2 linked regions of the Rhinolophus ferrumequinum genome follow. The protein of the gene in region 2 interacts with the protein of the main gene of each other region in a biochemical or structural test. Links are inferred from orthologs where the notes say so. Each region holds a gene or a part of one and is shown on either strand. Other genes may lie near its edges.

Evidence for each region. The genes of interacting proteins can lie anywhere in the genome.
Region 1: the proteins of CRY2 (region 2) and FBXL3 form a complex in vitro, tested with the Homo sapiens proteins (2 studies listed by BioGRID, with this or other methods). The link is inferred for Rhinolophus ferrumequinum from reciprocal best matches to the Homo sapiens genes CRY2 and FBXL3.

The regions. Positions count from the first base shown.
Region 1 is NC_046287.1:27,891,089-27,895,783, forward strand, and holds the start of FBXL3 (F-box/LRR-repeat protein 3), read right to left. Parts: upstream 2,830-4,695; 5' UTR 2,762-2,829; coding exon 2,727-2,761; intron 1-2,726. UniProt on the Homo sapiens protein: Substrate-recognition component of the SCF(FBXL3) E3 ubiquitin ligase complex involved in circadian rhythm function. Plays a key role in the maintenance of both the speed and the robustness of the circadian clock oscillation.
Region 2 is NC_046294.1:15,001,560-15,006,254, forward strand, and holds the start of CRY2 (cryptochrome-2), read right to left. Parts: upstream 3,361-4,695; 5' UTR 3,319-3,360; coding exon 3,104-3,318; intron 1-3,103. UniProt on the Homo sapiens protein: Transcriptional repressor which forms a core component of the circadian clock.

The DNA of each region.
Region 1 (4,695 bases), on a different chromosome or scaffold from region 2:
AGTAAAAGTAGGGAAAATGATCCTATTTCTGTTTTAAAATGAAGTGTGTGTGAGAGAGGGCAAGAATAGAAGAAGTTTACATATGAGAAATACACATTGGAAGTAAATTCACCACATTAATTATAGTAACTATAACAGTTAATTGGATCATACTATATTAATAGTGCGATTACAGGTAAATTTTTTTTTTTGCCAATATGACTCTCTATATTTTATGTATTTCTTTTAATGTCAATGAATTAACGTTGTAATCAGGTAAAAAGGTAAATCAGATAAAATTGTTTTGGCTTGTTACTTAGAAAAATAAGTATCGCAGGCTCTAAACTAAGTGGGGACCACTAAGTAGTACCTCTATTTAGTTTAGAGCCTGCAATACTTTTGTCTCTAGAGAGCAGTTCTAGCAAGGTGGTGGTTTGGATTTGGAGTCATAGTAGCTTTTGAAAAGGATAGCTTGTGGCTCCAACTCTCTTCTTCTGGCACATCAGCAGACAAGAATTTCTGATTCCAGTGTGGGACAATGGATGTGCGTATGTATGAATAAGTCTTTGCAGATTCTGTACCTAGTAGCTAGCAAAATTTGTGAAAAAGGATTGGGGGCTGGAGGGAAACAATGGCAGAGACCCCTGCTCTTCATGCCATTAAAATCAGCTCAGGAGGTCTTAGCACATGTGCAATAAACTGCCTTTTCCTCATTGCTCTACTTAAGTGAAGTAAATGGTGTATATCCTATTGAAATAGCAGGGGGAAAGAAAGGGAGAAAACAATGAGAGGTGGTGGCAAGAGGGTAGTTTCACGGAAGACTAAAATTTACGTGTGAATCTAAGAACGCTTTTCTAAATATACGTTTAGAAACGAGTAGTATAATCTACAATGTAATCTTAATTTAAAAATACCTCTCACAGTAATAATGTCCAACTAGAGGTTGAAATAACACTGTCATTATGACCTGTTTTTCTTTCACTTATTCTGAAGGCTTACTTTAATTTTAGCGTACAAAATTTGGGTCAAAGAACAAAGAGTTTGCTACCTCGGGCTTATAATTTCTCTTCTGAATATCTAAACCTCTTCAGAATTTTGAGATAACAGAGATTGGAAAAAAGAATGAAGCCATCTTTATAACTTCTACTCCTCATTACAGAATGCTGATCTCCTCTTTCTGGAGAAGTCGTCTAAACCCAGAACTATCCAACTTAAAGATGAGATGATTCATCTTACTTTAGAATATATGGACATATAAATGAAAATAAAATGACAGTCTTATTTACACAATTATCTTTACTAATACTTTGCTGATCCTAATAGATACTTTCTTTTATCTATTACCACCCTGTTTTAAATAAAGTATATTTCAGTACCTTTCCAAGTTGAGGGGAGAAAAAAGTTGACATATTAAAAAGAAGTATGCAACACTTCATCTAGATATAAGATTATGTGATCACCAAAGTGTATTTTAGGCACTTACTACTTTATAAATAGCAGAACAAAGTGTGTAAATTACCATGTATATGATATGATTATAATTTTTCAGGATTCTAGTCCATTAAGCAATAGAAAAAACTCTAAGCCCAAATACCAATAAAAATGGTCTCTGTATTATCCTCATTTGTGCATGAAAAAAGAGATCACCCAGTGGGCATCTAATAAAAATTATAAATGTCAATTTTTCCAAGATGATCTCATTTATCCATGCAAAAATTTACATGGCTTTCAAAAGTATTTTATTAAATCTATTTATACATGAAGTCCTTCTGTAGAGAAAGTTAAACAATTCAAAGCACCCACCAGTCTGCCAAGAATTTACATCAATGGATTATCTCCGCCTTTTCATCAAAATGACACATCTATTATATTTTAACAGGACTGAAAGAAAAGGAAGCTGGACAATCAATGTCAAAGTGACTTTGTAGAGCATCAAAACCAGGCAGGCCTCCTCAGGGCTCCAGCAATTCAATTTCAAAATGCAACTTTTCCGGGCTCTAAATAATTGATGCAACTTGGGCCAGCAGAGCATTTGGTGAGGGACTGATATAACCACTATGAAACTAATGAGGAAAAACTGCAGATTCATTGAGCAGCGCAGGGAGTTACTGAACTAACTCATTATTTCCACATACTCTGAAAGGAGCAGTCACACTTGTGTCAGATGAAGGGCACAAGAGACCACTTAGCCGTGCGTCCCTCACTGTATCAGGCACTCTTAGTACACTGGGCTTGTGGTAATTTTAAAAGCCCATTTATACTTAGCTCTCAAAAGCCTGCTTTGGCCTCGTATTTCCTTTCCATTTATGTTCTGCTTTGACTAATACCAAAATTAACACGCATTCTTTGGCTGGCATACAAAAATAAAGCCACGGAAAGAGATTAACTCTCAGAACTAGAAGGTAGGGAAAATGCACTGGTGAAAATCTGTCTAGTGGTCATTTGTAGATAACTGGCAGTCAATGGCATTTTTATAAATATTTCAGGAACGATAGAAAATAAAAGCCTAATTAAAATATCTGGGCCACTGGGTATCATCAGCAACAAGATAACACATACAGTAGTAATCTCACTTCTTAGCTCAGAGATGCAGGCCCATCATCTGATAGGCTGTTGCCTGATCCCTGTCTGCAGCGCCACCTGAAGCAGCTGCTCATCACAAGTTGACCAAGTTTTCCACTTGGCCGCGCGCCCCGGGCATGTCCTCCTCCCTGCGCCACCTCCCTGACTTATCTCGCGCGCCCTACCTGGACCGTCTGTTTTGACATTTAATGCCCCTCATTTCTCCAGCGATTAGGCACGGGCGTGGCCCCGACCCAGCGCGAGCTCAAAGGTGCCTGTCATCAACCCCTGCCAAGAAGAAGAATGCCAGGCTACAGCCGCGGCGCAGCGGGGCCGCGGGGAGGCTGCACGCGCCGCCGCGCACGCACCACGCCTTGTTGACATGTTTAGAAGCGGGCGAGCGGGGAAACGCCCCCAAGCAGGCTCCAAGGTCTGAGCGCGGCGCCCCGCCCCGCCCCGCGCTCGCGAGGGGCGGCCCACGCGCGCCCGGAACCGCGCGCCCCCGGGCCCCCCCTGCAGTCCACCAATGTCGGCCGACCCTCCCCAGTCCCGCCGTCACAGCGGGGCTCCGGCACTAACCCTCCGCCGTTACCTGCTGCCGGCGGCGGCTTCCCCCACACACCACCCCGGGCTCCGGGGATGGCGGCGGCTGGCTCCGCGGCTCTCACATGAGGCCCCCCGGGCCCCGCGCTTCGGGTTCCCGCCGCCGCGGCCCCCCGCGCTCCGCCCGCATCCGAGACGCTGGTCCCGCGGAGGGCACCAATGCGGATCCACCTTTGCGGCTCTGGCTGCCCAGAGAGAAGCCTTCCTTCCCAGTCCCGCGCCGTCCGCGTCCTGCCCCCGAGACCACTCGTCGCGGTGAAAAACTCAGCGAGCTCCCGCCGCCGCGGAGACCCTCGGCACCTCGGCCCGGACACCGACTCCAAAATGGCGCCCGGGGCTCGCGGCCGCGCGCTTTCCCTGGCGCGTCTCCGCCCGAAGGGGGCGCGTGTCCGCAGTGGCGCGCGCGCACGCGCGGCGGGCGCGAGTGGGCCGCGCCCACGCAGGAGCGCGCACTGCCCGGCGCAGCTGGGGGGCTTCCGCCTCCAGGTTCCACGTGACTGCTGCTTTTAGGAGATTTTTGGTTTTGGTGCCAGAGTGGGAGGGCTGGAGCTAAGGAGATGTCTAAGAGACTATCTGTGGTTGGAACTAGGAAGTTGAAGGAGGTGGCGCAGAATGAGGAAAGGAGGGAGTGTCTGGAGCCTGCAGGAGCCCAGCTGCCGGTCGTGGGGCAGGAGGATAAACAGGAGCTGTGAGCCCCTGACACCCCTCCGCGGCCGGGCGCGGCCTCGGACGGCCACTCCTGCGCCGCGGAGCCCGAGAGGTTAAAATACAAGCTCTGAAACTATGCACACTTCATACACCGGTCTACATAAGGTGTTTTTACAAACTGCAAGGATGTATACCAGCATGGTGACAGTGTTGACGCTGGGAGTATAGATGATTTTTATATTCAAAATATATTTTTCAATTTTTCTAAAAACGATTTTTATCATCAGAGTTAATGCTTTTTAAAAACCTCCTTTATAAAATAGACTCCTGAAGTCTGTAAATAGCTTTCTGAAACACAATAAGGAAAATGTAAGGGAATAGTTATTTAAAACCTCTGCTGAACCCTTTTGTAAATCGACGTATCTTTGTTCCTGATACCTAGTTAACTTGTTTTAAACGTTTGGATTTTTGGATTGTGGGTTTTCTTAAAAAGTTAGATTGTCCTTAGGTGCAAAATCATAACTTGAGTCATACACCACTCCTCCTGCCTGCCTCAAAAATAAAAAGAAAGTAATTTTCCATCCAAAGATGGCTTTTCAAGGATTTGACCCATGTGTAGGAGACTGGAAGGGAGTGATGCTGCACTCTTCCAGGTCACACCCCTCCAAACCCCCAAATTGAGCTAGGAAGCCATGTGTAAAATTATATTTGGACTCACTTGGAAAAACGCCAGTGTTTTCTGTTAGGACCTGACAGTTGAATCATCAAGTCAAACTGAACAAAGTCTCTAATAACATATTGTGGTTGTACCTGAACTGCAACATTTTTTTAGGTCCCTGAGTGACTGAATGATGAAGCAGGTTTTTAGACAGGTAATGGTAATTACTAGAGGAAGAAAAACAG
Region 2 (4,695 bases):
CCCAGAAGCTCCTGGATGCAGGAGCAGCACAGAGCCAGGGAGAAAATGATTTAAATAAGGGTGTGGTGAATTGTTGCCAACACCTACCTAAATTGCAGTAAGGAGAGAAAGGTAATGAAAAACTGCAAGGGCCCATTTTGAGAACCCATTTTTAAATCTAGAAGCTGCTCACACACACACCCACGCCCCTTTTTTTTTTTCTCACTGCAGTACCTCTTTCCAGATACAGCATATTTGGGGAAGGTGGAGCTGGGGAAAATTTTGGCAAAGGGCTTAGCCAACTAGTGCTTGACAAAAAAAAAAGGTCCCGAGGCTCATATAGCTCCAATTAGCTAATAAACTTCTCACTACCACCAAGGCAAGGTGTATGCTAGCCCTTCTCCTATGCTAAGAAATATATATATTCCATGGCTGCCTCTCTGTCCTCTTTTACTCTTAGAATGTGCCATTCGTGGTTATTTTAATCTGATACATCTGTGAAAAATGCTGTGTGGGAGTCAGCGTAGGAAATGCAGGAGAATAATAGAGATCACAGATTTTGCTTCCCCCACCTCTTGCAGCCAGCCCGGGGCCCGCCCTTCCTAGGGAGGCTTCTCAGAGGCCATAGCTGAAGTATTTGCAGAGCGAGGATGTTATGCTGCAGCACAATTCTCCCAGACCACTCCCACATCCAGAAACAGCCACCGGAAGATTACACATATTGTAGTTATGCAGAAGAACTGCTGGCTCCATCACTCCCAACGCTCAACTGCATGCATAAAACACGCTGCAGCTCTGCCCTGGATCTGATCATGGGAGCGCGGAGTAAGGTGGGGGTGGCAGGAGTGTGTCTTTCTCCAGGCCCAGGAGCAGTTATCCTATTCCATCTGTTTTGTATTATTTCACTTGTTTCTTCCAAATGCCCAAACTAATTAGACTTCCTGCCAATGCACAGAAACATTTCTCCCCAATGGTTGGCTCCTCAGGCTTTCCAGCACATGAGAGCTTTAAAAACCCTAATGCCCACGCCGTAAGCCAGAACAATTAAATCAGAATTGGGGGAGGAGAGAGTCCAGGAATCTTTGAAAGATCCTTCAGTGATTCCCAGGTGTTGCAAGATTGAAAACCACTGCTCTAGTCCGTCCCCCTATTTTATTTCGTGACCCTCAGTTCTACTAAATGATAGTTGTTTACTTGTCTTCCTCCACTAAAATGTAGGCTCCAGGAGTTCTGGACGCCACCTCTGCTTGTTCATTGCTATGTTCCTAGCAGCACCTAGAACAGTGCCTGGTTAGATACGAGGCACTCATTAAATAATTGCTCAGTTAATATCTGCATGCCTACACAGCCTCTGATTTCAGGGTTTGATGTAGGCAGCAGCTGCCACGTTCCTTTTCTCTTTCACTCGCTGGAAGGCACAATCACAAAAGGGTGACCCATAAAAATCCATAAACACCTTGTTCCTAGCAAATCTGAGTTTAATCAACAACGGTTTTTGTTGCTGATGTTTAATCTCCACTATCACAAGGCGTAGGCAGTGCTACGCAATGTCCCGCATCACCCAGTAAAAGAAGAAACTCCTTCGTGACATTAGGTACAAGCAGGTAGCCCTATTCTATTGACTCTGCTCTGATTGGCACACTGCCATAAGGAAAGGGGCAACGTCTGAGGCTCGCTTTAATGACCATGCTAGGGACGGTCATTTGAGGGTGTTTGTCAAAGCCAAGCTCCTGTCTATGGAAAGTGGAGCAGAGGCAGAGCAATAGAGCAGCCTGAAAACTGTGTGGGCGGGCTCTCCACAGGACTATCTTTAGTCATTCCCTCTATATAAATGGGGCAGGAGGGGACATTTCATAGACCCACTGTGAGAAGCACTCACTCTCCTGGAAGGGCACACACTCTGGAGAGAAAAGAGAGTTGTGCTGTGAGCCACTGTCTCCTGGGAATAACCCTGCCCATGGGTTGACAAGGCCACAAGCAAACATCCCCCAGAACAATGCAAGCAAACCAAATGACAGCTGAGGGGCATTTTAAAGAGATGGGTACACAATGTCTCACAACTCCTTGGTTTTGAACACTGGTTACAGAGAAAATACATCAACTACCTATCTGTTATCCTTTCCCATGATCCTGCAGACTCCATCTCCTGAGTCACCAAAGGGGAGCCCTTGATATCACACCTTTGCGGCTCCCTAATCTTACCACAAAAGTTGATAAAAATCTAATCTATAGTGGCGCAACTGACCTTTAAAATCATTCTCACGAGAAGAGGTACAAGGAAGTGACACTTTGTTTGGTTCCTTTTTTTTTTTCTTTTCTAGCAAACTCACAGCTGCTGAGGGAATTCTCCAAAATGGGTGAAGTACGGCTCCCTAGGTCAGGACACACAGTACCTCTAACTGAACACGCCCTTCGGGTCTTTATCAATAACAACGGGAAGATTGCACTTGGCTTATCTAATGTTAAGCCAGAATCTCTAGACACCTCCAGAGGCAGCACAGTCTTGGGGTAGGGAAACCAGGATGGGTGAAAAGACAAATTCAGACAAACCAGAGGCTTAGAGATGACCTTCAGGAGCCCAGCAACGGGCTCTTGACTTGAAGAACGCAAGCATCTCTGTGCCATAAACTCAGAAATCCAACCCTACCCTCACATCACAGTATCTCCTTTCCTCCAGTCCTTGAGCACACCCCTAAGAGCCCCAGACCAGGAGTCCCTGTTCTGTCACTCACTGGCTGCCAAGACCTTGGGCAGGTCAACTTTTGTCTCTAGGGCTTAAGAGTCTCATCTGTACAATGGAGATCATGATCTCTGTCCCACAGGAATGTCTGCGGCCCAAAGGAGGATAACACACAGTGCGGAAGCACTTTGTCAGAGAGTGAGCCCTGGCCCATCCAAGCCTTTGGTACGATGACTAATTGCTTCCCTGGTCCTGCCTTCTCCCCTTTGGAGACCCGGCTCCATCTTCCTGCCCCACCTCCCTCAGGCCGGGGTCTTCCGGCCGTCGGAGCTGGGGAGCAGGATCTCCCTCCTTTGGGTGGGGGATGACTCAGGCTCTTCGCCAGGCGCCCCAGAGGCCAGGCTGCGTACCCCGAGCCCGCGACCCGGCCCCGGGCCCCCTTACCTCCATCGGTTGATCCCCACGGAGGAGGAGGCCGCGAACCAGGGGTCGAGGATGTAAATACAGCGCACGCAGCGCGCCCCGCGCACTGCCGCCAGCAGCGCCGGGTTGTCGTGGAGCCGAAGCCCCTTGCGGAACCAATGCACTGAGGAGGCGCCATCCGTGCCGGCCTCAGGCGCAGGGGTCACTGCTGCCGCGGTCACCACAGCCGCCGCCATCACCGCCCTGACTGCTCCCGGCCACTGCTGTACAGCCCCTGTCAGCGCCGTGGGCCCCGCCCCCAGCCCGCCCAATGACCTATGACACCGCCTCTCCTCTCTGTGGCCCTGCCCCTCGGGCCCTGGGGCGTCTCTGCCATTGGCTGGGCGCCTCCCGCCGAGCGATTGGCCCAGCGGCGCCGAGTCCGGCCCCGCCCCCTCACGTTCCCACCATGTGTCGGTGGGCTTGGGAGCGGCCAGCGGGCAGGGCAGATGACGCAGGCTGGAGATTCTCGCGGAGATCTGGACACAGACGCAGTCTCGAAGGACAGCGGATCCCTTACATGCGTCCTATTCAATGCCTGTCACCGGAAAAAGCTGCCTGGGCTGGCGGGGGTTGCTGTGACTCCAGCCAGTAACATACGGAACCTGGACAACCGGCGTCCAGGTCACCATGTCATTAACATCGTCATCACCATATACCTCAATCTATTACATCATCTACAGCTACCATTTATTGAGTGCACTTTACATGCCAAACAACGTGATAATCTCCTTATACATACTGTCTCATTTACTACTCTCAGCCCAGTTGCATTTATTCAATAAACCCCAGTGAAAGAGCTGTTATTATTCTCATTTTACAGATAAGTAAACTTTGAGGCTGCTGCAGGTTGAGGGACTTGCTCAATATCATAAAGCTAATAAGAGGACTCCATCCAGATTATTGTGATTTCTAATCTGCTTTTATCCGGAAAGCTATATTTCTATCTGTGCTGAGCAACTTGACATTTGCAAGAGGCAGAGTCTGATGGGTAGCAGTAAAAGGGTTGAGAGTAGGAACTGGAAATGTGGAGGATGTGGGTTGCGATAGTAATTATGACATCAGATGAATTTATTTTCTTCTAGTTCTATGTATAGGAGACCCAATGGTACAATTGTGCTCAAACACTACTGGAATTCCCTGTGGGATTCAGAGGTATGAAGCACACTGTCCCCACTCCTGCCCTGGGGAGCCAGGTGGAGCCCTCTTATTCCTATGGAGGCTAGCACTGGGCTTGCTGATTGGCTGACTGAATGGCAAGACAAGCATATGAACACCTGCAATGAAGTGTTGACCTTAGGCTAAATGGTCTGGTCATACTGGAGCTCTGGGGTTATCAAGTGGAGAACAGTCTGTTTCAATTTGGTGCTAAGTTGTGCTAAGTTCCCATGCTTGGAACCCTTACTGAACTTGGGAATGAACAATAAAGGAATTTAGCAATTTTATGGTTACCAGTAAAATTTTATGGTTACCAGTATGGTACCAATAAAATTGTTACCAGAGCATCGTTTTAATGGTACACTCTTTTTCATTTCCAGGGCTTTGCACAAGCTGTTCCCTCAAGCCTGGATTAC